Rhinolophus ferrumequinum: one gene and its partners. The protein of the gene in region 1 interacts with the protein of each later gene in a pairwise test. Links are inferred from orthologs where the notes say so. Each region holds a gene or a part of one and is shown in the gene's direction. Other genes may lie near its edges. The genes, in order: KASH5, RNF146, JAGN1 and SENP2.

Region 1 (7,447 bases):
CTTCCTCTCTCTGGGCCTCAGTTTTGTCGTCTGTCAAAAGGGACTAACCAGCTCTCAGTAATGAGGTATACAACCTTAGAGTACATCCCTCCACTCGCTTAGTAAACCCCAGAGGGTTTTGTAAACCAAGAAGTGCTTTTAATTCCAAGTGCTTGGTGCACTTCACCCTCACAAACCTCAAAGTGTTTTTATCTCAAAATACTCTGCAAACCTTTAAATATTTTTTTAATCTATCCCAAAGTGGTAAATCTCCCCCTTGTAAACTTCAAAATGTGATTTTTAATTCCAAAGTGCTTTATGAACCCCAAATGCTTTGTGTCTCTCACCTTCGTAAACCTTTCAGTGACTCTAACCCCAAAGTGCTTGCTTTTTTATCCTAAAAATTTTTAAGAACTGCCAAGTGCTTGACAAACCCATATGGTTCACACACACACACACACACACACACACACACACATACACACCCCGTTTTTTATTTTTTAAATTTCAAATCTACAGAAAAGTTGGGGGAAAAATGTACTATAAGCATATCTGTATTCTCTTTTTCACGGAGCAGGGTTTCTCAACCTTGGCACCATTGTCATTTGTGGGCTGGATAATATTTGTTTTATTTGTACATGGGGCCATCCTTTGCACTGTCAAATGTTTAGCAGCATCCCTGCTTCTCCCCATTAGAGGGAAGTACCACCCCCACCCTGGCCAGTTGTTACAACCAAAAATGTCTCCAGACTTTGGTTGAGAACCACTGGCCTCGCTTCACCACTTGTTAGCATTTTACCACACTTACTTTATTTTTACTTTTGTATTTTTGAACCATATGACAATAAGCTATTGACAACCTGACACTTCACCCCTAAATCCTTCAGCAGATATCTCCTAAGAAGAATGCCTTCTCCCACATGACCACAGTACCATTTTTACACCCAAGAAGTTTAATATCGATGTCAAGCTATTATCTCTGTATTTGTTTGGGAGGGCTGCTATCACAAAGTACCACACAGACTGGGTGGCTTAAATAACAGGAACTTTTTGTCTCATGGTTCTAGAAGCTACGTGTCCAAGATCAAAGTCAGCTCCTTGTGAGAGCTGTGAGGGCGGGTCCTTCTCCTACCGTGTAGTGTTTTGCTCACAGTCCTTGGGGACCCTTTGTGTGTAGATGCATCGCCTCCATCTCTGCTTCATCTTCATGACGTTCTCCCTGTCTGCGCTTCTGTGTCCAAATTTCCCCTGTGCATAAGGACACCAGCCATACTAGATTAGAAGCCACCCTGATGACCTCATCCTAACTAATTAAATCTGTAATGACACTATTTCCAAATACCCTGTTTCCCTGAAAATAAGACCTAGCTGGGCCATCAGCTCTAATGTGTCTTTTGGAGCAAAAATTAATATAGGACCCGGTATTATATTTATTATATTATATTAAGACCCGGTCTTATAGTAAAATAAGACTGGGTCTTACTATAATTTTTGCTCCAAAAGACGCATTAGAGTTGATGGTCTGGCTAGGTCTTATTTTTAGGGAAATACGATAAAATCACAGTTTGAGGTCCTGGGGGTTAGAAATTCAACATATGAATGGGGAGAGGCACAGTTCAACCTATAAGAATCTCCTACAGGACTTCTCAGACCTCAACTTATTAAAATGCAGACTCTGATTCAGTAGGTCTGAGTGGGCTGCAGCCCATAATTTACATATATAACAAGCTCTCAGATGACACTGGTCCACAGCCCACACTTTGAGCAGCAAGGACCAAACAGACCATATTCAAATATCCCTACTGGCCCCAAAGCTCTCTGTAAGGCTGATTTGATTTTGGACCAGGATTCAATCAAGGAGCACATGTAGCAATTGTGGTTATGCTTCTTTAGTAAAGCCAAGAGCTTTTAATCCCGAAGTGCTTTGTACATTTCAAACTGCTTTCCAAACCTCAGAGTATGTTTAATCCTGAAGTGCTTTGTAATCCCAACCGGCATTTTAAACCCCAAAGTGCTTTTGAAACCTCCAAAGCATTTTTTTCAATCCCAAAGTAGTCCATAAACCTCAGAGTATTTTTGAATCCAAAAGCGCTTATTAATCCAAGTGCTTTGTAAACTGCAAACTGAGTTTTTAACTCCCAAAATGGCCTGTAGGTGACAAAGTGAATGGAATATGCCAGTGGGGTCTGAGCATCCTGAGGTTGTCATTTAGAGTTTGAGAGGGTCTCCTTGTCCCTCTTTCCCAGGTACCCAAGACAGAGGACAAGGAAGCCCTGGTGCCTGTCCCAAAGGCCATGGACAGCTTCCACCCGGAGCCCCATTCCCGAGTGGCCTTCTGGATCATGAAGCTGCCACAACGAAGGTCCCACCAAGGTGCCCAGGAGGGTGGCCACTGGCTCAGCGAGAAGCGACACCGCCTGCAGGCCATCCGGGACGGGCTCCGTGAAGGGACCCGAGAAGACGTCCTTGAAGAGGGGACCCAAGGTTCCTCCCACTCCAAGTTGCCTGCCCGAAACACCCACTTCCTATACATTCTCAGGCCCTCCCAGCAGCTATAGGGGTGGGAACAGGGGAACACCTGCATATACCCCCACTAGACCCTACCCCAAGGATCATATGGAAATAAAGTTTCTTCTTACAGCTAGCTGCACTGTCTCCTTTCAGGATATGTCTCCAAACCTCAGCCGACCAGGCCATCACAAGTTTCGACAATAAAAAGATAACTAGACAGTCATAAAATGTTTGGAAATGAAGCAATATACCACTAAAATAATGCGCAGGTCAAATTAGTAAATATTTTGAACTGAATAATAATGGAAAGGTGGCATAAACTTGTGGAATATAGCTCAAGAATGTCTCAGCAAATTATGGCCTTAAATGCATATATTACAAAGATTAAATATCAATAATCTAAAAATATCACTGATCTAAGCACTCAAGACAGCTATAAAAGTTTAATTGAGCTATAACTTAAGATTTAGCACTTTATGTATGTTACCATTACACTATAAACTTCTTAAAAAAAATTTTCAGGGATTACAAAATTACCCAGACCTCAAAAAAGGAAGAAACAAGAAATATGGAAGGAATAAACTGACATAATACCATTATACTAATAAATTATGTTAATAAAATTAATGGGGTCCACCACATGCCAGCCTGTGCTAAGAAAACACTTGGCAAACATTCTTATTGAACTCTCGTAAGACATCATGAGGTGGATATTTTTTGTCCCCATTTTAGAGAAGAAGCTGATATTTAGAAATGTGAAGTCGCTTGCCAAAGTCACACAGCAATGGCACTAGGTTTGTCCGATTCAATATCTCTTTTAACCACTCACCACGTCACCTGCCAAACAGGATTTTTCCCGGGCCTTGTAACAAGCCACCATTAATAGCCAAAATAATAACTATCAATTATTAATAACAAGGATTACCACCTTAAGTCCTCAAGGTGACCTAAGAAGCAATTATCTTCATTTCTGGAAGGAAAACAGGCTTAGAGAGGGTAAACCATTGTACCAAGGTCACAGCTAGAAAGTGGTGGAGCCAAAATTCAAACCTAAGAATATCTGACTCCAGGCCCACCACCTTGTCATCACGCTACACTGCCCAGTACTTAAGAGGCATGGATTCAGTCCCTTCAACTTTTTCTTTTGTTTAGCGTCCACACCAAGCCAGGCATGTTCTAGCCCCAAAACAGTCTCCTACTGCACACAGGTCACATTCCAGTGGGGGTGACAGTAGACAAATATAGAATATGTCACGTTTTGAGACGTTCCATGAGGACCACTAAAAAGTGGATAGTGTGGGCTAGCAGAGAGGTTGAGTGGGTGGGACCGCGTTTGTCCCAAATGCTCTTCCTTGGGAGGATCTTCAATTTTGGATGTAATTCTCTTCCTCTCTCCAGCCAGAAAAGCGAGAATATTTTCTCCGCACTCTCTCCTAAAAGGAGTAAATGAAACAGTTTGGGGAAGAATCCTTCGGGGACTTATTAATACATCTTAACTGGAGCTACAAAAGGGCGCGGGAGTGGTGAGGCAGGACAGGACAAGACATCATTGTGATGGTGAGGGGCAGACTGTCATGTCACGGAACAGATGGCATCACGAGCACGGCTTAGTAGCTGATAAGAAGTGGGGATGAACAAGGGGTCTCTCAAGCCAATTCTCCCTTGCTTGGGCCTATTTCACCGAATCTTGGGGCCGCAGAGAAGACCCCAGCACAGGGGACGTAGCCGCCTCCTCCCTTAATCCTGCCAGCCTTCACCTGCTTGGCCAACACGCATGCGCCCGCTCCACGGGTCTGGGCGCGCGCTGGGGAAGTCCTACGCATGCGCAACTTCGCAGTTGCAGGTACCGGCCCAACTAGCGCGCCCCTTCCTCCGATGTGCGCCTGCGCTGAGGGAGGGGCCCAGACGCGCAGGGGTTTAGACGTCAAGCGCGCTCTCGGTCCCGCCCCCTCCCTTTGCTTTTCCGGTGGGAATAGCGCGCTGGCACCTTTTCCTGGGCAACTGCCGTTCGTCGTCCGTGGCCCTCGGCCTCAGGTGCGCTCTGACTGTAGCGAGGTTCCCCAGATTAGCTCTGTCAAAACCCCTCCCGAAATCCTGGCAAAGCCCCCAAATTATAGGGCAGGGTCCCCAGTATCAGGGGTCTCCTTAAAAGTCCTGAAATCCTGACTAAATCCCCTCAGAAATACTGAAAGGAAGCTACCAGGAGATCTTATAGAAGATCCTCGAAATTTTGTCAGAATCTTCTAGAAATTCTGTCAGTCTTCTCCCTCAGTCTTCTCCCTGCCCTAGACCTCCCCAAAATCCCGTTACGCTCCCTCCCCAAATCCTATCAAACCCCCCAAGTCCAGAAATCTTGTGGAACCCACAAAAATTGTTAGATTCCCCCTCTCAAATATCCGAGACCTGAAATCCACTCATACATCCCCCAGAAAGCTCGTCAGATTCCCCAGAAATCCAGAAACTCAGAGATCCAGTGGGAGATCCTCTTGAAAACCAGTCAGAGACCCAGAAATCCAGTCAGAGACTCCCTAAGTTCCAGATCCCCCTTCAAAAGCCCCAGAATTCCTGCCTGGGTCCTCCTGCTAGAATCTCCCGCTCAGAGGCCCCTGAGGTTGACCAGAGCATCTTAGTCCCTCACCAGGAGTGTGTCCCCCACACCCTGTCAGAAGCTCCCAGTGCCTCTCAGCACCCTCAAAGGGACCCTTCTCCACTCAGGCCCCAGGGCCATCCACCCCCTTCTGCGCGCCCCAGCAGTATCCAAACCCTGGAAGGGTCTCGTTTCAAAGACCGTTTTTTCTAGGATGTTCTAAACGTCGCCAGGAAGTGTGCCCTCCACAGCAGTGGACCCATCTGGCGCCCGGGGAGCAGGGTGTGGGGAGTAGGTGGTGAGGACAGGAGGGCTGAGCAGGTGGGATGAGGACGGGCAGGTCCCCGGCCGCCCTGTGTTGACCGTTTGCCCCAGCGTACTCAAGTGTGATGGGCACTATTGTCCAGTGTAATTATTAAATCGCACCCCTTTCACTCTTGAAAGTATCCTGGAGTTGGGGCAAGAAGTCTTATGGTCAACCTGGTTATAATGGAGGCAGGACAGGACACGGTTGGGGCACAGAGGAGGGAATCCCTAATTGCTCCGAGGACTCCGGAAGCCTCCCCAGGGAACTGGGGGCCAAAGCAGGGGCCACAAGTGGAGACGGTGTGTGTGGTATGTTCTGGGCCTGGGAGGACCATGGGAAGATGCTAAATGCCCACGGTCGGGATGAGGGCGAGGGGCCTGGAGGTCAGCCAGTGGAGAGAAAAGTGATTTAAAAAATAAAAAGCAAGGAGTTGCAGGGACTATTCTGTGCCACACTAGCCAGAGGAGCTAGGCCTTAGTGCTGAGGGCACTAGGGAGCCATGGGAGGGCTGCGAACAGGGGAGCGATGGGCTCAAACTCGCGTCAGAGGCCGACAGTTCCAAATACGGGCTGACAGTAGCCCCGGGCAGTGAGGGACCCCACAGACAAATGTTCAGAAACATTTCCCAGAGGAGGGGACTTGCGAGCTGAGACAGGAAGGACTGGGAAGTAGGGTGTTCCAGAGGTGGGAACAGGGAGCCTGGCTTGGGGAGCAGCGCACAGTTCAGAGTTGCTGGAGCAGCAAGTGTGGTTTGGGGTAGAGAGGCAGGCGGGGCCAGGCCATGCCGGGCCTTCGCCAGGTCCAGGGTCGAGGCTTTGTCCCTGGGATGCTAGGGAGCCATGGAAGAGTATTGAACAGGGGAGGGGCAGGTCAGCTCTGGGGCCCGGTGGGGATGGACAAAAGTGGGAGACTGGAGGCTGGGAGGCCAGAAAGCAGGCTGGCATGAGGGCCCGGGGAAGAGGGCGAGGCCTGAGCCAGGGCCCTAGGAAAGGAGAGGAGGGGACGGGGTAGAGTCATTGGGGTGGAGGGACAGGGCTGGGGACTTGACAAGCTGTGGAGAGGAGGCAGTGACCCCCACTCATTAGGCCCCCTTTGATCTGTGCCACTCACTCCTCCAGCCCCCCTTTGCCAGCCCCCACCGCCAATCCATTAAGTAGGTCTGAGCCAGAGCTGCTGTGATGGAGGCAGGGGTGGGCAAACAGGTTCTGAGAGCCCAGAGCAGCCTGGGGCACAGGTGGGTCCCCAACTTGGGGTGGCTGGTCTGAGGAGGTCATTCCCCTGCTCTCCTCCAGGAGCTCTCCAGGCAGCTGGTCCGTTTTCCGTCCTTCCCAGTGATGGAGGGAGGCTGTTAGCATCAGCAGCAGCTGCAGAGCGAGGAGGGTGTCCCATGGACCTGCCAGAGAGCCTGGAAGGCAGCCCTGCTACAAAAAGTAGGTGGCTGGGCCCCCGTTTGCCCCGTGGGAGGATGCGGGAGCCGTGGGTGAAGAGGCGCCAGGCTGTGACTTGGAAGAAGTGGCTTGGGGTGGCTGAGGCTCCGCCTTGGTGCAGGGTAGGAGGGAAGGAACCTGCTGTGTGCCTACCTGTCTGGCCCCTTGTCCCCTTTCCTCTGAGGAGGCCAGAGCAGAAGCCTGTGCCTGTTGTGTCCCCTGCCTGGAGCACCCTTTCCCGGTGACCCACGGGCTCACCCGTCTTCATTCAGCTCTCATCTCTCTGTAGCGCAGCTGCCCTGTCACTCTCTCCTCTTTCCCGCTTTACATCTCTTCATAGCACTGACACTGGTTTGTCTGGCTGTTCAGTCTCCGTCTCCCCCACTAGAGCAGGAGCTCCACCAGGCAGCTATTTATTCACTCTGGTCTTTCCAGTTCTCAGAGCAGCACTGTCTGACGCACGAGCTGTATATGTAATTTTAAATTTTGTTAACAGGCACATTTAAAAGAAAAAAGAAACAGGCAAAATGTATGGCAATAATAGTTTTGATTTAACCTAAAGTAGAAAGGTAGTATCCTTTCAGCGTATAATCAGTATAAACATGTATTGGAGATATTCTCTTTTTTCTTACAAGT
Region 2 (6,989 bases), on another chromosome or scaffold:
GACATTATTTTATGCTTTGCAAATCTCTTTAATGCCTGGCTTAAGAAACATAGGCAAATTCTAATATCTGCATCTACATTCAATATGTTTCTACATCACATATCATGTAGCCTTAGGTAAACTCCACTGTATGCTGGAGAGAGAGAATGAGAGTGTATTAGGCAGCTAGCATCTTAATAGTATTATTGAAATAATCTTCACGTCTGGGACCCTCTGAAAGGATCTCAAGGACCCCAGAGAACACTAGAAAACATTTTGAAAAGCACTGCCCTAGATGACATGTATCAATGGTTTTCAGTACATTTTCCACTATACCACGTATGATTTTCTCATGCACATTTTCATGGATGTCTCCAGATATTAACAAAACAAAAAGAATATTTTGATCATTAAGCAAAATAAATAACATCAAACATTTTTGAGTGTTGAGAGAATACAGAGAAAAGGGGTGCCTGGAGATAGATGTGTGGTATTCATGAAAGCATTTTATACACTTGCGGGAAACAGACATTAGGTTATGAAAGATGAGCAATTCCTAGCAGTCTGTTGCAACTCCTTTATCTTTGATTCAGTGAAGCAAAATAGAATGCCAGTGACAGTAACATTATTACAGACATACCTTAAATTTTTTAGGCTCTGATTTCTTTAAGTAAATCATTTGAAAGTTTGGGCATTTTAAAAATTATTGAAACCAATTACTTTAAAAACACTTCTGACAATGTTGAGAAGTGCTGTCCTATATTATTCATAGATAAAAACTCATCAGTATCTTTCAGGTGGCTGGCGGAGGTGGGGTGCATACTACTGCATATATAACAAGAAGTTATATATGCAGTAGTATGCCTTGACACATAACAAGAAGTTTTTCTTCATTTATATATTATTTGGTATATAAATGTGTGTGCACATATTCAGAGGGAGCTTGTCTAAATGTGTCAGGCGCTATTCTTGGCAGTTGGGATACAAAATAGAATACAAATCCCTGCCCTTGAGTGATTTGTGTTCTAGTGTAGAGAGATATATAAGATGAATAAGCAAACTAAATGATCCCTTACATTTCGATAAGTATTAGAGAGAAAAAGTAAAGGGAGGAATAAGAAATATCTGGACTAGGAGAGGTCATAATTTAAAATAGGGTGGCAAGTAGAGGACTGAGAGAAAAGATGACTTTTGAGCACAAACAGAGGGAGGAAGCCATGATGGCGAAGAAAGTTCTAAGCACAGGAAACTGCAAAAACTGAGGTTGAGACCTTGTGTAGAGTGTTCTTGGATCACTAAGCTGAGTGAGCAGTTTGTGAGGTCAAGGAGGTAATAAGGGGAGTCTTAAAGCTATTAAGGACTTTGGTTTTTACTTTGTTTTGGGAAGCCATGGGAGACTTTGAGTAGAGGGGTCGTGTAATCTGACTTCCTTTTTAATAAGTTTACTTTGGCCTCTGTATTGGGAATAAACTCAAAGGAAAGGGAGGACAGAAGCAAGACAACCAGGCTTTGGGCTATGGCAATAATCCAAACAAGAGATGCTGTTGTTTGTAATAGAGGTGGTCAATAGTTAGATTCTGGGTGTGTTTTGAAGGAAGAGCCAACAGATTATTTGCAAAATGGATACTGGACATAAACAAAAGGAATTAAAAATGGGTTTGGATAAGGAAAGATGGAGCTATTTATTGAAATGACCACGATTATGGGTGTGGCTGAGAGGGTTGGAAGCCTGGTAGGGCATTTTAGTGGGATTCCTGTTGATTAATTCATTTCTTGCTTTCAGATGGATAGGTAGATAAACATAATCTAAATTATATTATTTTAGTGAAACTTCTAAAATACGTGCCTAGAACAACTGAAGAACTGTGAATAACTTTTCCTAAATTAAAAGTATTTATGGATCAGGAAGCATACCTGTGTTCTGATCCCGGTTCTATCTTCAACAAGAAAAGATTATAAGCAAGTCATTTAATTTGTTATACCTATTTATTAATTGATAAAATGAAGAATTGAACAAGGTGAATTCTTACAGTCCCTGTCTGGATTTAAATCCCAGCTGAGCCTATTTCTGTAAAATGGGAATAACAACAGTACCTACCTCACTGTTTATTATGAGCTCATACATGTAAAGCACTTAAAACAATGCCTTGCACATTGTTAGTTAATAGTAGTATTATCTCGTAGAGCTGGAATCTTCAAGTACGTATCAAATTTTTGGTAGTATCTTCATGGGGTGTGTAAGATAGTGGGGTAAAACTGGATGGCTAAGGAGAGCATAAAGATAGGGGATTAAGTTTAAAGATGGGGAATATATGGTTCAATATTTAAAGAATTTATAAATATTTATTCAATATTTATATAATTGAATAATTATTCAATATTTAAAGAATTTAAAGAATTTTATACCACATTTAAAGAATTTATAAAAATGTTGCTTTTACTTACCTGAGTAAAATCATCACTGAGCTAGATAGCATTCTTCAAAAATTGGTTACATTTATATGTGTGTGTACACACACACACACACACACACACACAGACATGAAGGGTCTGACAATTAAGTCCGAGAATTTGTTGCAATGATGTTGCAAACCTTTTTTGATACCAGAGGGATTATTCATTATGAATTCATACAAACTGGACAGTTAACCAAGTTTACTATTTGGAAGTGCTGAAAAGGCTGCGTGAAAAAGTCAGACGACCTAAACTTTTCACCAACAATTCAAGGCTCTTGCATCTCGACAATGCACCAGGTCACATGGCGCTGTCTGTGAGGGAGATTTTAGCAAGTAGACAAATAACTGCATTGGAACACCTCTGACCCCCAATGACTTCTTTCTTTACCCAAAGATAAAGGAAATATTTAAAGAAAGACATTTTGATGACATTCAGGACATCAAGGGTAATAGGACGACAACTCTGATGGGCATTCCAGAAAAAGAGTTCCAAAATTGCTTTGAAGGGTGGATTATGCCCTGGTGTCACTGGGCATAACTTCCCAAGGGGAGTACTTTAAAGATGACCGTAGTGATATTCAGCAATGAGGAATGCAGCACTTTTTCTAGGATGAGTTTGAGAACTTAATTGTCTGACCTAGTACATCTCTCTCTCTATATATATATATATAGACACACACACACACACACACACACACACACACGTTGATTTCAGAGGAATAAAAGAAAATGTACACATTTCTATATATAAGAACACTGAAACCTTCCAGCCTTGAATAAACAGTTAATGAGATCTCAAATGCAATAGCATTGCCAGTAAAAAGATACTGGCCTGGAATGTTGAAATTTACTCACATATACTCTTTTAAAAGACAAAAGCGTGCTTTTCCGCCCTGTTCATTTTACAACAAATGAAGAAAATACAGTCAGTTTCGAAAAAGATAATGTATATGCTGAAATGAAATGGAGGATACTGCCTAGATTTTGATGTTTAAAACCACAGGCATGCAACAAAATAAGCCATTTTCTTTAGTTTTAGATTCTTATACTGATTAATCTCTTCCTCCAGCTTCCTATGCCTAAGACAAATGGCCCAAAACAAAAATTAAGATTCTTTTTTTTTTTTCGATTGAATTACTCAACCATCCAGACGGTGAATAAACTGGAACGTCCTAGAGGACCTTTTTTTGAAAGAGAACAAGGAGTACTTCGCCAAGAGCTCTTCAACCCCAAATCCAGCTAGGTCTGGAAGCTGGGTTTCTGAGCAGCCCCATCTGCTGGTCCTGTGCGTGTCTTACTTCCTTGGCCCCAAATCTCTTTCTCTCTCTGTGGGACCCGTACTTTCAGTCTTTATACCCAGTTACAACTAAAGCAAAATATAAAGCAGTTAGAAGAATCCAGGTAACGAAACTATAGCTCCCCAAAGGCAGGAAAAGGCAGGCAACCGGCACCACGATTTAACGGCAGCGAGCGGGAGGGGAAGAGTGGGTAGGGAGGGGCTAGCGAGAGCTCCCGGGTGCGCGGTGCTGCTTCCGCCCCGCGCGGCCCCGCCCCCGCGACACGACGGGCGGTCACGTGACGGCCGCGCGCGTCCCCGGCCGCTGCGGGTTCCGAGGCCGACGAGAAAAGACTGCGAGGCCACCGCGGCTGTGGCCAGAGAGGTGGGAGTCGGGGCGAAGCCCTCGCGGGGGGCAGGGTGGAAGTCAGTCACTCCTGGTTCCTGACTCGGGAAGAGGAGCGATGGCCCTCGGTGTCACCTCCTGCCACAACGCGCTCCGGGTCAGCCCTGCGTTCTGGGCCTGAGAGGGGCGGCGGCGGGGCCAGGGGCCGGTACGTTGGTGGACGCCCTTGGGCCTGCCCGGCCGCGGTTGTCCGCCCCGGGGCGGGATGGGATGGGACCGCTCAGCCCTTCCCGCCGCCCCCACTGTGGCTGGTGTCGCAGGCAAGAAGACTGTGACGGGCTCTGCGTTGCCGGCTACCGCCGCAGCCCCTGTCCTGGGCGACGGCCCGGAGCTGGTCACGGTCAGGGTGCGAGAGGCGGAGCAGCGGCCATTACTGCGCAGCCTCTTCCGCCGGGGTCCTCGTCGCTACCTTTGGTGGCAGCCAGATCCATCTCTTCTCCTCTCGGCCGTGGTGTCAGGCCTCTACCCGGGAACCTTCTGGCCTCAACACTTAGGGGCGGCGATGGTTTTGGGGGGTATCCTGCTTCCTATTTCCCTTGTGGAGGCCTCTATCCGGGCCTTGGTTTAAATCTCATCCAGGGTGTACAGTCCCTGCATTTTGTCTTTTTCCGGAGTGTCTTTGACTGCTTCTTTCTCTTCCTTCTCCCCTACGCCCTGCTCAGGGTCTGGGTCTTGCCTTATACGAAGAGTAGTTCCACCACTTGGTCTTAGTTAAACCCTGCGCTGCGTATCAGAGTCGTTTTGATGGTTATTAAAGCATCCGAACAATTAAGAGATCTCTAAATACCCTTTGAGCCTCCAACACCCCAGCGCATCTTAAAGCCGAGGCTGTTGCTTTGTTCTTCTGGTTGTTGGGTGCGCAGTTCTCTCCCTACCCCTCATCCCGTCGGAAAGAGTACGGGTCTTCCATTGTTGTTGCTATTTTATTTTCCACCGGCGTCTAGAGAAACGGTGCAAAATTGTTTTGAGTTGACACACACATTCTGGCAACTAGATTTTTTTTCCCCCTGTATTACCCGTTTTCGTATATATTTTTATTTCTTTTCCCAAGTACTATTTTAGTGAGTATTTATTTCTTAAGTTTCGATGGTATACCTACATTTTGTTTAAGTAATATTTTTGAATTGTTGAAACGAATTGAGGGGAGAAGAAGCCAAGAAATGATAGAAAACGCTTTGTCTTTGTATGATTGACATTTCAGGCTCTTCCCCCACCCCATGTTCTTACTTTGTAAATAGTATGTGAAAGTATAACATTGGCATTGAAAGCAGTATATAATTAGAGAAATTGGAAGACTTTTTTTTAAAAAAAAAATAAATCTATATTTAGATTTTTAAAAGACTGTGGTATCTAGGACGCATGAAGAAAATGACCCCACACACAGGATTTATGATACCGGCTTTGATGTTTTTGTGACCAGCAAATACCGTTTGTGATAAGTGCCTGGATGTTTTAAAAACACATGAAAATAGGTCAGGTAAATCTCATTTTAAAGAGAAAACCAGAAGAGTGAAAGCCACTCTAGAAATAGATTTTGAATATGTTTGTTTTAGCTGTGTATATCTTAAATTGGGACATTTTGTTAAGCCCGATTATTGATTTAGAATTTATGTTTCAAATGAGCCAATGTGAGTTGTGGGCAAAATGAAAATAATGGTAGACATTTTTAGGTTTTTTTGTTATTTACTGGTTGTTAAGAAAAAATTGGATAGAATTATAATCATCAGGAAAACTATATTTCCAAAGAGCTGGTCATTAGACAAGAGGAAGGAAAAAAATGGTGTTTTTTCTTTGAGGAGACATTTGTCAACTGGTAAAATATTTTGTTTCAGTTTACACCAACTTGAATTGTAAGAAGAATTGGGCAGATTTTTTTTTTTAAAGGATCCAAAAACCATCTGACTTAGAAGAAAAAGGAAGTATTACATTTTTTCACAATATTGATCTGTTTAGACAATATTATTTTATGTATTAGCCATTTACTATCATGAAATGTCTGATACACTGTCAGTTGGATATTTTAATGCTTTTTTTTTTCCAGTGTTAGTAACAAGCTGCTGAGCCTTTTCCTGGCTTCTGATTGTGCCTAAGGAACCAACTGGATGGATTAGGAACAATTTTGTGGGTATGGAAACCACCTTACTAACGTTCTGCTGCAACCACTTGTGCTTATTTATGGACTACTTAGTGTATATTACCTTTTGGGTTAATTAAAACAAAACCTGTTGTTAAATGACTGTTAATTAAAATATTTATAATTTAGAATTATAGAAGTGTAGAATAGGGTGAAAGAACTAAGACGTGAATGGGAGTTATGACTTGACCGAGGTCACGCAGATAATTATCAGCAGAGCCTTTCTTATTTACGAAATGACTGCAGACTATGAAACTTGTGTTTGATATGATTAAAAGATTATATTTGTTCACATTCACATTTCATGTTTTGTTAAACTAAAATGCAAAGCCCACAATTTTGGGGGCGAAATTTAAAGGTTTAATGCTTGAGTATGAAGATTATGAAGGCCATAGATTGCCATCCAGTAATGTCTTTTAAGGGAAGTGCTTGCTATACAGTAAGGGGAATAATTATTTAAAATAAAGCATTGGACCCCATTTAGTTGAAATGAGTTTTTATGGAAGGCTTTTGTTTCCCAGTATGCCCTGTGCTTTCTAAGTGGAATTTTAACAGGGCATGAGAAGGAAAGCTAAAAATGAAAACATTAGGGCATTTACTTACATTACAGCTCTCAATTTGGGACTCTTTCTTAAGAAATACTAAAATGTATCTGCTAAATTACAGCCAATCTCTCTATTCTTTCTTTTACCAGCCATTGCTTTTATTTTGGGAGGTGTTTGTATATCAAAAGTTGTA
Region 3 (7,691 bases), on another chromosome or scaffold:
CGATAATAAAATTAAAGGGCTTTTCAACAGAGACATTTAATTGATACAAGAGAAATTGGTGTTATTGATAATATAATTATTTAATAATAGCAGAGACTAAAACTAGCTGAAATGTGTAGTGTGAAGAGGGTAAGATCGTATGACCCAGCAATTCTAGTGCTAGATAGATAGAAAGATAGGTAGATTTCCAAGAGAGATAAAAACATACGTCCACACAAAAACTTATACACAAATGTCCGTAGCAATAATAATAATAGCCAAAAGATAGAAACAACCCAAATGTTCATCGATTGATGAATGGATTAAAAAATGTGGTATAACCATAAATTGAATGCTATTTGTCAGTAAAAAGGGTACATGCTACTACAAGAATGAACTTTGAAAACATTCTGCAAAGTGAAAGAAGCCAGTCACAAAAGATCACATGTATATTTTTATGATTCCACTTGTAAGAAATGTCCAGAATAGGCAAAATTATAAAGCCAGAAAATAAGTTAGTGATTGCTTAGGGCTGGTGCTGGGGGGTGGGAGAGGAATGGGGAGTGCTAATGGGTCCAGGCTTTCCTTCAGATGAGACAAAATGTTGTAATCCATTAATCTAATCACAATTTATTTTGGCAATAATTGCACAACTCTGTAAACATATTAAAAATAATTGAATTGGACATTTGAGTGCAAGAATTGTATGTGAATCATATCTCAATAATGTTTTTTTAAAAATAAATTTTATTGGGGAATATTGGGGAACAGTGTGTTTCTCCAGGGCCCAGCAGCTCCAAGTCGTTGTCATTCAATCTAACTGTGGAGGGCACAGCTCAGCTCCAAGTCCAGATGCCGTTTTCAATCTTTAGTTGCAGGGGGCGCAGCCCACCATCCCATGTGGGAATTGAACCTGCAATCTTGTTGTTAAGAGCGCCCACTCTAACCAACTGAGCCATCTGGCCTCTCCTCCAGAAGCTCAGCGGCAGCTCATTGTTTTCAATCTAGTTGTGGAGAGCACAGCTCACTGGCCCATGTGGGAATCGAACTGGCAACCCTGTTGTTCAGAGCTCGAGCTCTAACCAACTGAGGCATGACCACCCTTTTTTTTTTTTCTTTAATGTGGTTTGCAAAAAGAGTCCAAGCTCATCTTTCTGTTAGCAGAGAGTTTTTCACACTAGTGCATCAGAATCACCTGGAGAGCTTGTTAAAGTTCAGATTGCTGGGCTCCACCCCAGAGGCTCTGACTTGGTATACCAGGGGTAGGACCTACGAAAGTGTATTTCTAACAGATTCCTACATGGTCCTGAAGCTGCAGCTACTTAGGGACCCCACTTTGAAAACCAGCAGTCTAGCACTAAACTGTGATGTAACTCCTCTAAGCTTCAGTGGGATCTGACAAATGGGAATTAAAAATAGGTTGTCATGAAGATTAAATGAGATAATCATGAAATGTACTTGCTATAGAACTTAGTACATTCTTCAGGTTCAAGAAATAGTTACTATTACTATCATCACCATCATCATTATTATTTAGATCTAAATCCTTCCCTGGAGGAGCTCCCAAGCAACCATCATGCATTCATTAATCAAATATTTATTAGTTGCTATGTGCCAGCCCTCCTGGGGCAGAGAATACAGCAGGAAACAAGACAGCCTTGTCTTACAGTTCAATGAGCTGACATTCTTGAAGGAGGGGGACCTCTTACCATGAACAAATATGCAAATAAAATAATTTCAGATAATGATGTTCTGGAAAGAAAACAAAACACAGTGATATGATAGCAAATGACTGGAGAGCTAGATTGGCCTTGAATTTAGGAAAGTGTGAGGGGAGGGGAGCTTTCAGCTAAATCCTGACTGGTGAGAAGGCAGTCTTTTGAAGTCCTGGAGTGCATTAGTCCATTTGGGCTGCTATAGCAGAATACCATAGTCTGGCAGCTTATAAACAAGAGAAATTTATTTCTCACAGCTCTGGAACCTGGCAAGTCCAAGATCAATAGGCCAGCAGATTTGGTCTGATGAGGGCCCACTTTCTGGTTCGTGATGGAGGGGCAAGGGAATCTCTTCCATAATACCACCTCCCAAAAACCCCACCTCCAAATACCATCACAATGGGGATTAGGTTTCGACATATGTATTACGGGGTGAGGGTGGGGGCACAAACATTCAGTTTACAGCATTCTGCCTGGGCTTGACCGCCAGTCTTTTGAAGTCCTGGAGGAGAAGAAACATTCAAGGCAAAGGAAACATCATTGCAAAGGATTTGAGAAGGGAATGAGCAGGGTGAAGAGACAGGAACACAAATCACTAAAATTTAAGGCAGACCAAGACCCAGTAGAAAAGTACATATAAACAAATACTTTGGGGAGAAAGTTCTAGTGAAAGAGTTTCGGCCCCTCCCTTGGACATTCATGCCTCAAACATTTATTGACTGTTCATCATGTGCTTGGTGTCCCATGATCGGCGAATGGATGACTCACAAGCAGTCTTGCCCTGAAGAACACCTGGTGCATCATGAGCCGCAGACTCAATGAAGACAAAGATAACTACAAGCCAAAGCCGGAGAATATCTGTTGGAGGGGTGGGGGTGGGGGTGGGAGGGAGAATGGCTTCATGAACCTGAGGATTCTTCAGGTGTGTAGGAGAAGTGGATAGTTTTGTCTCAGTTGGAATTTTTTTATTCAACAAGCATTTCTTGAGCTTTTACACTATGCCAGGCATAGTGGGCTGCTGGGGACACACATGATTTGGCTCTTATCCCTCTTAGAAAAGATCATATTCCAGGGGGGAGGCAGATGTCTGCACGTGGTTCTCCAACTCAAAAGTGCAGAAAAATCATTTGAGACACCTTGGAGTGGAGAAGGACTCTGGCTACTACTCAAAATTGAGAAGTCCAAAAAAGAAAAAATTATACATTCAACTACATTACAAAAAATATTCTGCATGTTAAACTTGTAATACTATGAGTAAAGTCAAAATACGTGCAATAAATAGGAAAAATACATTGCAACGAATATAGACAAGAGGCCAATCTCCTGTCTCTCTCTCCCTCTCTCCCTCCCTCCCTCCTCTCTTCTGTCTTCTCCCTCTTCTATCTGTATGTGAATTGAAACGACCAACAGTAGAAAAGTGGGCAAAGAACATGAACACAGTTCAGGGAAATGAAATTCAAATGACCTGTAAACATATAAAAAGATGCTTTTTTCAGATAATTTTAAATTTTATGTGTTTAATTTTTAAATTGTGGTAAAATGTACATAACATAAAATTAACCATTTAAAAAAAGTTTATTGGGATGACAATTGTTAGTAAAGTTACATAGGTAAATTAACCATTTTTTAAGTTTAGTGACATTAAGTATTTTCACACTTTGTGCCACCATCACCCCATTCATCTCCCGAACTTTTTTCGTCTTCCTTTTCATCTCTGTACCCATTAAACAACTCCTCATTCCCTTTTCCCCAAGGCCTTGGCAACCACCATTCAACTTTCTGCCTCTATACAATTTATTTTTCTTTAATGGCACTGACATTTTTAAAAAGTACAGTCCAGTTATTTTGAGTTATCTGTCATCTCTTCATGATTAGATCCAGGTCTTTGGCAGGAATATCTCAGAGTATCAGGAGGCACGAGGTGTCATTAGTGTTAGGTCTCTGAATGTTGGTCTCAGAGTCCTCGACTTATAGGCAGAGCCACGTCTGCAAGAAAATAACAAAATGTCTGTTGGCCTGCACCTGAGACAGAGCCAAACTTGAGATAACAGAAAACGCCACAAAACAGCTACTGACTACAGGCAGTCAGCATTTTCTGTTCTAACAATGTACGCTGTCAGCATAACCCCTATAAAATCCTCCTCACCCTCTCCCTCCGGGCTGCAATCTCCTCTAGATTCAGCCCCGGGCTATAGCCATCTTTTGCTCAGCCCTATAGATTTTTCTCTCTTACGATAAAAATTTTCTTAATTCGCCTGACCATGTATATTCCTTAATCTGCCGACCTATCAATTAGTGGTCAAGTTAACTTTTTAAAAATTGTTTAATGTGTGTGTGTGTGTGTGTATGTTTTGTTGGGGAATATTGGGGAACAGTGTGTTTCTCCAGGGCCCATCAGCTCCAAGTTGTTGTCCTTCAATGTGGTTGTGGAGGGCGCAGTTCAGCTCCAGGTCCAGTCGCAGTTTTCAATCTTTAGTTGCAGGGGGCGCAGCCCACCATCCCATGTGGGAATTGAACCAGCAACCTTGTCGTTGAGAGCTCCCGCTCTAACCAGCTGAGCCATCAGGCCACCCATCGTCAAGTTAACCTTGATTACTTTGTTGAGGGGGTGCACACCAGGTTTCTCCACTGCAATCTTACCCTATTCTCTTTGCAGCGATTATGTAACCCATGGGGCGATTCTTTGAGACTGTGTGATACATGTTCTTAGGAAAGTCACAGAACCCTGCCAAACTGTGAAATGGGGACAACGGCATCTTAAACTCATATTAGAATTTAAGAACGTGAAAGTGCTCGAGTAGCGAGAGAATCCGCTACAGGTAGAAGGCAAACAGATGCCAGCGCTGGGGGTGGAAGGGGCGGGGCGGGGTTAATTTCCGGCACGTTCCACTAGAGGGGCGGCCCCAGCGGGTCGAGAAAAAGACCGCGCGCGTAAGCGTGCGCATGCGTGTAGGGGGGCAGTGACCATAGAGTCGGTCCTCCAGAGACAGAAAGGCCGGAAGTTCTCACATTGTAAGACTGTTGGGGTGGCGGAGCTGAGGGGGTGCGAACGGTATCTGCAGGTGGCAGAGGGTCCGTGTGACTCGGCCAATGGCGTCTCGGGCAGGCCCGCGAGCTGCCGGCACTGACGGCAGCGACTTTCAGCACCGGGAGCGCGTCGCCAAGCACTACCAGATGAGGTATGAAATGAGGCGATGCGCTCAGAGGCCTTCTCCCCAGTCGGAGCCTGCAGGGCCTGGAAAGCAACGTCCCCCGCCCCACATACCCCCGGCCTTAAGCTCTTACTCTCTAGCCAGTCCCGGATTCACCTGGCAAGTCCCCTCCTCCCGCGACGGCCCTCGGCCTGTCCCCAATCCTGGGAAGCCCTGTCGCTCCGATAGACTCCACCTCTTGATCCGCCCTGTGACTTGAGGGGGTCCAGACCCGCCTGGGCTCCAGTCACGGCGATGCTGTCCCCGCTGTGTGACCTCGGGGACATAATTTTTAATTGAACCTCAGTTTTCTCACCCGCAAATGGAAAAAAGTAATACACCTTTTAGGGTTGGGTGAAGAATTAATGAGCTAATAATTTGTATAAAGGACGTAGCAAAAGATCCAGCACATAATACGAGTCTGCCCAATACATGATGAGTGTTCCATTTCGGACTCTTTTGGGGAATGAGCGTCGTAAAGGCCAGCCTTTCCCTACCTAAAATGAATTTTATAAACACCCTCACATAAGGAGTATTTCTACATTAGTTTATTCAGTCAACAAATACGTATTTATTGCGTTTCTACCCATCATACATTTTGTGCTAGGCACTGAGGATATGATAGTGAGCAAAAGCAGACGTGGTCTTTGTAGGCATGTTATACCTTCAATAAAGAAGCTTATTAACAACAAACGAAAAGGTCCCTGGCTTAATGAATCTTGAAGTCTAGAGGTGACTGATTTTTTTCCCCTACATTTCCGCACTTTCTATAATGAGTATTTTAAAAATAAAAAAAATATTTAAAGATTTTCTTTCCTTAAATCCATTGAACTCTTCCAGAATGTTTTTTGCATCTTTCTCGCCAGATTTTTAAAGAATGACAAGCTCTTTGGACCCTGACTTTTATCTTAAAAATCCTTGCCTAAGGATACCTCACAACCCAAGTGTTTTCATGCCTGCCTAGAGCAGAAACTGCCCTCTGGGATGTGAAAAGGATACATTTAGGACCTGTGAGAGTTGGAAGAATAAGAAATGCATACTCCTTTAGATGAAAAATCAACACTAGCTGGAGAAGTATGAGCAGCATGAGCTGGTTTTCTCCCTGCCAATACCTCCTTCCTCTAGGCTATACTCCTGCGGTGCAAAGTCATCTTTCTAAATACTCCTCTGAGTTACTTTGGCCTTTAAACTGACACTTTGTAGTCTTTGCAACTTCATATCCCACTTCTCCCCTCCCTTCTAAGATTCCTGTCATACCCCACCATAGGCTCTCCTGGGACACAAATGTCTATCCGAGCCTTCTTGCTTGCATGCAGTTACCTCTGCTTTGAATGCCCATCTCCACCCGCCCCACAGAGCCTTGCTCAAGTGTCACCCTCCTCTAGATAGCCTTCTCAGACATCGCTTCCCAAGCAGAATTGATTACTGCTTCCTGTCATCACATGTGACTTGCAATGTATGTTAACTAGAGCTCTTCAGTTTGTTTTCTAATTATTTTTCTTCCTGTGTTCCTTGTGCCCAGCCTCTAGGTAGGAACTATATTTTATTCCCATTTCTATCTCATTGTCCAGTATACTTGCCTGACATATAGTTGGTGGTCAGCACATTTTGAATGCAAGGCACTTCTCCCTCTGCTCTGCCCCACAGTGTGACCCTCAAGTATGAAATCAAGAAGCTGATCTACGTGCATCTGGTCTTATGGCTGTTGCTGGTTGCCAAGATGAGCGTGGGACACCTGAGGCTCTTGTCACATGATCAAGTGGCCATGCCCTATCAGTGGGAGTACCCGTATTTGCTGAGCATCCTGCCCTCGCTCTTGGGCCTCCTCTCCTTCCCCCGCAACAACATCAGCTACCTGGTGCTCTCCATGATCAGCACGGGGCTCTTTTCCATCGCCCCCCTCATTTATGGCAGCATGGAGATGTTCCCTGCTGCCCAGCAGCTCTACCGCCATGGCAAGGCCTACCGCTTCCTCTTCGGTTTTTCTGCTGTCTCCGTCATGTACCTGGTGTTGGTGCTGGCCGTCCAAGTACACGCCTGGCAGTTATACTACAGCAAGAAGCTCCTAGACTCTTGGTTCACCAGCACACAAGAGAAGAAGCGTAAATGAAGCCTGCCAGATGGACTGATTGCTGGGGCGAAGCCTGGGCCTCCCACCGAGCGGAGTGAGACGGGAGAGGAGCTGTCCTAAAATCTCCTTTGGTGATTTTGGCAGCCGTGATATTGGCAACTAGTGCAAACGAGGCCCGAGTTCTGGAAAGCTCCACCTGTTGTCATCAGCTGAGGTGGCAAAACTGTATTTAACTTATTCCTGAATGGCTGGAACTGGGTGATGAATAGCTGTAAGACAAACTTCAGCTAGTTGAAGTTGAGGCCCTTCAGGGTTTTTCTTTTAAGACCGAGCCTCTTCCTCGCCCCTTTTTGGTCATTCTCTCCACTTCCATCCATTACCCCTTAGGCACTGAGATGGAAGGAAATAGCGAATAAGCTAAATTCTTCAATCTGTGGGTCATTGGGCAGGAAGCATTTAGGAGGCTACTTCCTCTGCAGGCTGTGGTTTCTACTGTGAAGCATTTTAATTTAAAAAACCTCAATAAAGTCATAACTGCCCTGTCCACCCTGTGCCTTGTGTTTGGGCTTTAACAGAGAATGAATGATGCGTTGCTTGAGTGGCATTAGACACTAGGAGATAGGTGGGAGCTTCCTGAGAAACCTGGCGGTGGCCATAGAGAAGTGAACGGTGTAAGGAACTTAAGTCATGGTGGCCACTCTGTAGCTGATTGGCAGGACGCGCCATACATTTCAT
Region 4 (7,225 bases), on another chromosome or scaffold:
TAAGCCTTGGTCAGGAGAATTCTGCACCTTCGTCAGACAACCCTTTCCTGGAGCATGCACACAGAGTTGTCTGTGCGAGGAGCAAATCTATGGACAAATCCACCCCTATAATTTGGAAGGTCTATTGTTGTGACTTCTGCCTTGGGCTCCCATTTGGAAACATCGTGAACCACTTGAGGGTGAAGGGGACCAAAAGTTTTCCCTTTTGGGATATTGAGTTTTAATCTGCTTATTAAGAAATGACTCAGAAAATAAAAAAAAAAGAAATGACTCAGAAAGAAACTTTGACCCTCCATCTTCTCCTGCCTAAGAGATTCAGAGGGAAAGACCCACTCCAGTAAGGAAGTCATAGGATGTTCCCCTTAGCAGCCTAATTTAAATTGAGTGTGGTGGATGGGAAGGTGTAAAACAGGGGCTGTTTACTAGATTATCCCATCTCATTGTTTCTGGATTGCCTAGCAAACATTTACCTGCCTTGTATGTTCCACTCTTCCTCAACTACCTGTGACTCATGCATTCGCACTTTTGAAATCTCAGACGCTACTCACTCTTTTTATCCTTTGTCCAAAATGACATATATACCTAATCTCACCTCACTGTCTTTGGAATTTGAATGTTTCTGTGAATTCCCCATGTACGTGTATTAAAAATTTAATTTTCTTCTGTTAATCTGTCTCTGGTTATTTGATTATTAGCCCAGCTAGAAAAATTTAGAAAGTGGGAGGGAAGTATTATTTTTTCAACCCCTACAAGGGGTTCCTGCTGTCTAAATCAGCAGGGTCTTTCTCATCTGGTGGCATCCTTCTCTTCTGGTTGCACCTCTGTGTTGGCTGGTCACCAAGATAACTGCCTCTCTCTTTTCATAGTACTCCCTAGGGCTATCCAAAGTAAATTTTAGGGTCGCCCCATATTTAAGTCAGACCACTCCCCAAACCTTCTAGAATTTGGTGGAAATCACCCCAGTCAATTTTAGTGATTCAGTAACAGAAACCAGAAATTTAATTTATAAATTTACTTTTCTTACTGAATAAGAACAACAATATAAATTTGCCTTCCTTAACAACAACAAAAGGCAACAAAACAACAACAACAACAAAAAGGATGAAAAAAGAGAGATCACTCTGAAAATAGCACAGAAGAGGGACTGGGTAGAAAAGGAGGTAACTATTGCAATGGTGTGGGAAATAACCAGGCCCTGAATGATAGCATTCCTTTGGCTTTGGAGAAGGGAAGGAAGGGAGCAGGTCTGTGGGAAATGTAGGATGCAGAACCGGCAAGTTAAATGATTTATTAGATATGAGAAGTAAGGAGGGGGAAGGAAACATGAAGAATTTAGCTATGCTGGGCCTTCACATATGTAAACACATTTCATCAGCCCATAAATCTGAGAGGCAGGTTTGATTAACTCTATTTTACAGATTAGGAAACTAGTTTAGGTAGGGTCTGGTGCTATTATTTCTCCTCACGAGGCAGGCCAAGCCACTTGTAGTCAATGTGAGCATATTTTATAATAAAATCTAGGACAAGAAAAACTGCACTTGCTTTTGGATAATAAGGCCAAGGTTATTATTAGATTGAATAAGATCAAAATTATGTTATTAGGAGGACACATTTTTCTTGAGTAGCAAAGAAGTTGGTCTCCAGAAGAAAACGAATCTTCAGGGTGGTGAATGATGTTAGATTTTAGGTATGTTAAGATGAAACCAAGAACATCTCACTTGTGGCCTCCTTCCCACTTCCATCAAATGGCTCGGAACTCTATTCAGGGGTCAGCCAAAACAAAGTTGAAAGGAAATCTTTTAACACTCTGAGGAAAATGGTAAAGTGAAAACTTGTAAGACTAAAGAATGGATTGGAGAACTGGGTCTTCATTGTTCTGTGGAGGGGAGGTACCAGTTAGAGGAAGAGGGGCTGGGCCTTGGAAAGGCTTGAAAGAGAGGATCTAACCTAGAAACAGACAGACGTCTTTTCAGAAAACTGGGGCAACCATTTAAGATACCTACTGAAAACTTAAGCGATGAGCTTGTGGCCCTGTGGTGGTACAAGGATGCAAGTTATCCAAACCAGGGGCAGAAATATCAATGTCCTTGTTACTTCATTTGGCTTTGGGATTCAACTCTGGCCCCCGGTGGGGTTTCTGGGTCCGGGAATGGCTGTGGCAGTGGTGGGGTTAAGGATAATCCCACTTTTTGACCAATGGATGGGCAGTGCCTGATGCCTCTACTGTGGATGACAGGGCAGCGAAGGCATCAATGGGCAGACAGGTCCCAGGCAGGAGCGACCGTAAGGCTGAGTCCCCTTCTTTTCTCCATTTCAGAGGTCAACTGGAGACAGTAGAACGACACAAAACGAGTGCAAGTATTCAGGGGGTGGGGGTGGCGGCTGACACACTCATGAGTTACTATTTGCTGATGAGGCCCAGGTATTTAGACTGAGGTCTGTAATTCCAAAGCCCTCCCACTTTTAATGGTGGGTGATTGACATGTCAGTATTGGGTATGTGCAGGTGCTATAGCTGAGGTAGGAAAAGAAAAAATGAAACATGTGGTGTCGTACTAGAGTACTTTGAGACTTGATGCTAATATTTCTTAAATCTCGGTGGTCAGAACCTGGGAGTTGATATTCTACAGCAGCTTATAGTTTTATGATTTATTTTTTGAATGGAGACTGCTTTTGTGTTTTGGGGACTCTTTTCCCAATACTTGAGTGATGTTCTTGGTTTGGCAAAAGCAAGGACCAGCTCTCATAATGGAGTGGACAGTTGGGACACAGCAGAATTGCTCTGCATAGTAATATCAATGTTAGTCTTAGATTAACAGAATCACCTGAAATGGGTTGGGTTAGAGGTGGAGGGGGATTCTTTTGTTGAGAAGAGTGTAGCGATGACCTGGGGTGGGGGAGCCAGGGAAGAGTCCTTTTGGGAAGCAATGGGCTATAGATGCTATACTTAAAATAGCCACTTCTAAATCTTATTTGAGGCTTTGCAATTCCCCTATTACAGTATTCCCAAACTTCCAGTAACATCCTGGTGTTGGCTGTGCTTTGGGGAATTAAGAGAGGGGCTATGTCCACATTTAGGATTTGTTTCCACCCTCTAGGAACTGCCTGCCCCCACACCCACGCCCGAAGCCAGAGTGGTGGTAGCCATAGGTGGGTAGCTGGTGGTTTTGGAGCTCTAGGGGATGGCTTGCAGCAGAATTCTGGAACATTGCTGTACTGGAGAGTGCCTATGTTGAAGTTTAAGCAAATCTGGAAGTCTGGCCTTAATTTAATCATAAGTAAGGATCAAGTGCAGTCAAGGACGGATTTGTGGGGCATGAAAATCTTTGAATATTCCCAGAATTGTTTGGGAGTGGGACGGGATTTTCTATCAGTAAGTAGGGTAGGACTTTTTCTGTTGTTGATAATTAACCAGAAATGTGACTTCTAGATACCAGAAATGTGATGAAGGTATCTGTGGCTTACTTGTACCTACTAGTCTCCCCCTGGGCTGGCAACACTCCCTGCCAGCCCACAGGGAGACTAGTAGGTAGTAGTGAGCCACAGGTACCTTTTCATTCTTAAGCTTCTGTAAAGCCATCCTGGAGTTCTGCCCTTCCCTTCCCTCAGCGTGTGGGTTTCTTTTCTCGGGCTCCTACTGCACTTTGTACACACCTTTATCACAGCAGCCAGTTATCTCGTAATTTGTCTCTGTCAGTAGATCTTAAGGGAGGGATTGGCGCTGGTTCTCAGATCCCGGTTCAAATTCCAGCTATGGCACTAGCTAGCTTAGTGACATTAATCAAATAACGTAATCGCTCTATGCCTCGATTTCCTTATTTATTAAAAATGGGACAAGACTCTCTCCATTGCTTGCGGTTGGGAGAAACGAAGGTGACAATGAATGTCAAGTGCAAGGCAGAAGCAAAATAAAGGGCTCCTCGTATAGTAAACATTTGTTAATTAACCTAACTTACTTTTATTTTGTGTACTTAAACATTTACTGTATTTCAGTCCCGGGGCGCTCCCTCCCAGGAGGAGAAGCTTCACGTGTAGCCTGTGGGCCTTGTCCCGCGGGCCGGCTCAGGATTGGGTCCGCCGAAAAGAAAACCCCGCCCACAGCCCTTTCGCTCTCGTCCAGGATTGGACCACTACCGTCCTGCCGGCATTCTGGTTGCTAGGTTCGGAAGTGGGGGGCGTGTTAAGTTGCGCGTGCGCAGGTTGAGGAGGAAGGTGCTTTCCGGTCGGGTAGGAGGAGGTGACGTCAAGAACGGTTGCTCGCGGGAGCCTCCGGTAGCCCTGGGGACGTTGTATCTGTGGGCCTTCGGATCGCGTCACAAGTCGGCGACTGAACCTTAGCTGTGGTGGCTGAGGCGGCGAAGGCGGCAGCGGCGGCGACAGCTCTGGGGTTTGTGTCTCGGGGTGTGTCGGCCGCCGCTGCTGCTTGGGCCTGGTATGTACAAATGGCTGGTTAGGATCCTCGGCACCATTTTCCGCTTCTGTGACCGGCCGGTGCCCCCTGCCCGGGCCCCCCTGAAGAGGCGGCGCTCGAACAGGTGAGAGGAGAGGGGGCTGAGTGCGGGCCTGTGTGCCCCCCTCCCCCACCCCGGGCTCGGCCGCGATGGCGCTGAGCCAGCCGGGCAGGCCCCGCTCGGCCGAAACGCGTCACTGGGCCGAGGCGGCAGGCGTGCGGGTCGCGGGTTGCCTGGTGACGTAGTCGCTTCCTCCACCCTGTGTGGATGCGGCTCTTCCTGATGGAAAGAGCTAGTTGCCTTCGGAGCGGCCGGTGATGGTTAGGATCTTGGATATTCTTGTCCGAGTCCACGCTGTTTCCTGTCATCGAATGGGTATCATTTGTTGCCGCTCTTAGATTGCAACCGAAAAATGTGTTTTGGCTCACTGTTTACAAAGCACCCTCCCAAGTGTCATCTGTGGGCAATGAGTGCAGTTGAGATTGATATCTTGCCCAAAGCCGTTTGACTGCAAGTACTGTTCCCTTAGCACCGAAACAGCAGCTGTCTTGTTCTGAAACAGCTGTCAAACTGTGTGTGTGTGTGTGTGTGTGTGTGTGTGTGTGTGTTGGGAGAGAGGGAGGGAGAGTGGTTCTGTGCTTTAGAATTAGGGTATGAGAAAAAAAATAGGCACCTAATTCTTTTAAAAACATCACTAGTCTGTACTCTAAAATTCGGTTAAAATTTGGGGCAAACTAAAAGCTCTTCTTACTTAGCATGTACCCATTGGCTTGTCCCATTTCATAGTGAATACCCCCTTGCCTAGAATTAATCTAGAGAATAAAATATCATACCAATTCTATACACCTCCCAACTTTTAGTGATCAAGTGTTAATTTCATTATTTTACTAAACCTCCCTATCAGGGAAAGGTGGGTGTTTGCAGTTTGAGAGAATAAGATAATTAATACACGGGTCTGAGAATGCAGGTCATTGATGAAATTGACTGTTGGCTAAATTCCATTATGTGTTCCCAAGAGGGTAAGGTTTCAACTTGTTCTTCCTTTCCACCTTTCTGTAGGGTTGATATAAGGATCATTTGAGAACATGTTGTAAAGTGCCTAGAATGATGCTTAATACTATATATGAGAAGGGTAGTTGTTTATTCTACCCTGAGGGCCTCCTGCAAAGGTTGGTGTATGATAGGCACTTGGTACATATTTACAGGCACTTGGTACATATTCACTGAATAAGGGAATGTTAATTTGTTCTGCCCTGTTCTCTTTTTGCTACAAATCCCTGCTAGTCAGGGAGACAGTAGTTTGGAGGTAAAAAAAATCCTGTTCTTTACCACACATCATTGATCTAAAAACAATGCTTCTCAGTGTGAGCCATTTTTCCAGTCAAAATGAAGCCAGGAGTTCTCGTTGGGATGTTCAAAATAATGAACTCAGTGGTATTCTCCTGGGATTTATTCTGTTCACTTTTTTTGGTAAATATCATCAGTTGTAATCATCTTTAGAAAGGTGATTAGTAGTGTACCATGACCCTTTAACATTGTAGAAGTATAGGTCCAATAACTTTCTGAATTTTTAAATTCTTTATTACCACTGTAACATAGTTTCCATGTGAAAAAAATGCAGTTAAATATAACAGCTTTTCTGGTTAACTGTTAAGGCTTCTTATACGCGTATATATGCATTTATATATATATATATTTTTTTTCTCTTTTTTTTAGCACTGTGTTTTCTACAGTGGACACTGATGAGATACCAGCCAAAAGACCAAGACTAGGTATTGAATATTAATTTTAAAAATTCATTTTTTTTAGTAGGAAAAGTATATGCCTGGAATAAAATTTAAAAGGTAAAAAGTATATGCAATGAAAAGTCTTTCCTGTCCATTTTCTGCTCAGTTATCTTTTCTGGAGGTAACCATTGTTACCAGGGAATTAAGTATCTTTTCAGATAGATAAGCCTATATGTAGAACATACATTTTAAAATTCTTAATCTTCCTATAAAGAAAAGGTGGTTTTTAAATTTGAGGAGAAGACATTGTAAAAACTACTTCAAACAGAGTCACCCAGTCAAACAGCTGAATGAACCAATCTAATATGTTGCCTCAGATTGTTTACTTCCCTATAATCTGAAGGGCTAGACATAGCTTGGTAGAAGAGAATCAAATTAGATTAACGGGAAAAGGAATACAATGGAATACTATAATAATATTCTTTCTCAGAAATGCATGTGAATTTAGATTTACCTCTAGATGTGGTCATTAAGAGTGAACAAATCTGTATTAAGATTTCATTTAAATCCAATGAGTACTTACTGAGTGTCCTTATTGCTAAGTAGTGTCTTAGGTTCTACAGGAAATAGAAAAATGAGTAAGACAAGATCTCTATATTATTAAAGACCTTATAATTATAGGGGTATATGATTATCTGGGGGGGATATAAGACAAGCACATAAATAATACCAATGTCAGTGAGGATATAAAAATGAAATAAGAAAAGTTGTAACAAAATACTGTCCAATTTTCAGCTGGTTAAGAGTTTCAGTGAATATTTGAAGGAGCTAGTATGTAAGACGGGTCTTGAAGGATGAATAGGATATCAACAGAGAACAATAGGAAGGAAAAACTTTCTAGGTAGAGGGAATAGTATTGGAAAATTATGCAATTCAGGAAATAATGAACAGAACTCAGGAAAAAAATTGGCAAAAGAGAGGTCAGATTATGGAGGATTTTGAATGTCAGGAATATCCAAATTCATTAGGACAGTATTTTCCGAAGTAT

Evidence for each region.
Region 2: the proteins of KASH5 (region 1) and RNF146 interact in binary tests that used the Homo sapiens proteins (3 or more experiments, as listed by UniProt). The two-hybrid records come from large-scale screens. The link is inferred for Rhinolophus ferrumequinum from reciprocal best matches to the Homo sapiens genes KASH5 and RNF146.
Region 3: the proteins of KASH5 (region 1) and JAGN1 interact in binary tests that used the Homo sapiens proteins (3 or more experiments, as listed by UniProt). The two-hybrid records come from large-scale screens. The link is inferred for Rhinolophus ferrumequinum from reciprocal best matches to the Homo sapiens genes KASH5 and JAGN1.
Region 4: the proteins of KASH5 (region 1) and SENP2 interact in binary tests that used the Homo sapiens proteins (3 or more experiments, as listed by UniProt). The two-hybrid records come from large-scale screens. The link is inferred for Rhinolophus ferrumequinum from reciprocal best matches to the Homo sapiens genes KASH5 and SENP2.

The regions. Positions count from the first base shown.
Region 1 is NC_046298.1:44,556,715-44,564,161, forward strand, and holds the start of KASH5 (protein KASH5), read left to right. Parts: upstream 1-4,443; 5' UTR 4,444-4,524; intron 4,525-6,676; 5' UTR 6,677-6,771; coding exon 6,772-6,814; intron 6,815-7,447. Other genes in the region: DKKL1 (dickkopf-like protein 1), read left to right, coding at 2,226-2,537. UniProt on the Homo sapiens protein: As a component of the LINC (LInker of Nucleoskeleton and Cytoskeleton) complex, involved in the connection between the nuclear lamina and the cytoskeleton.
Region 2 is NC_046286.1:75,588,607-75,595,595, forward strand, and holds the start of RNF146 (E3 ubiquitin-protein ligase RNF146), read left to right. Parts: upstream 1-3,983; 5' UTR 3,984-4,096; intron 4,097-4,133; exon of another isoform or gene 4,134-4,265; intron 4,266-6,216; exon of another isoform or gene 6,217-6,242; intron 6,243-6,989. UniProt on the Homo sapiens protein: E3 ubiquitin-protein ligase that specifically binds poly-ADP-ribosylated (PARsylated) proteins and mediates their ubiquitination and subsequent degradation. May regulate many important biological processes, such as cell survival and DNA damage response.
Region 3 is NC_046300.1:44,053,328-44,061,018, reverse strand, and holds JAGN1 (protein jagunal homolog 1), read left to right. Parts: upstream 1-4,671; 5' UTR 4,672-4,784; coding exon 4,785-4,873; intron 4,874-6,532; coding exon 6,533-6,995; 3' UTR 6,996-7,500; downstream 7,501-7,691. UniProt on the Homo sapiens protein: Endoplasmic reticulum transmembrane protein involved in vesicle-mediated transport, which is required for neutrophil function.
Region 4 is NC_046285.1:59,833,722-59,840,946, reverse strand, and holds the start of SENP2 (sentrin-specific protease 2), read left to right. Parts: upstream 1-4,220; 5' UTR 4,221-4,433; coding exon 4,434-4,534; intron 4,535-6,166; coding exon 6,167-6,222; intron 6,223-7,225. UniProt on the Homo sapiens protein: Protease that catalyzes two essential functions in the SUMO pathway.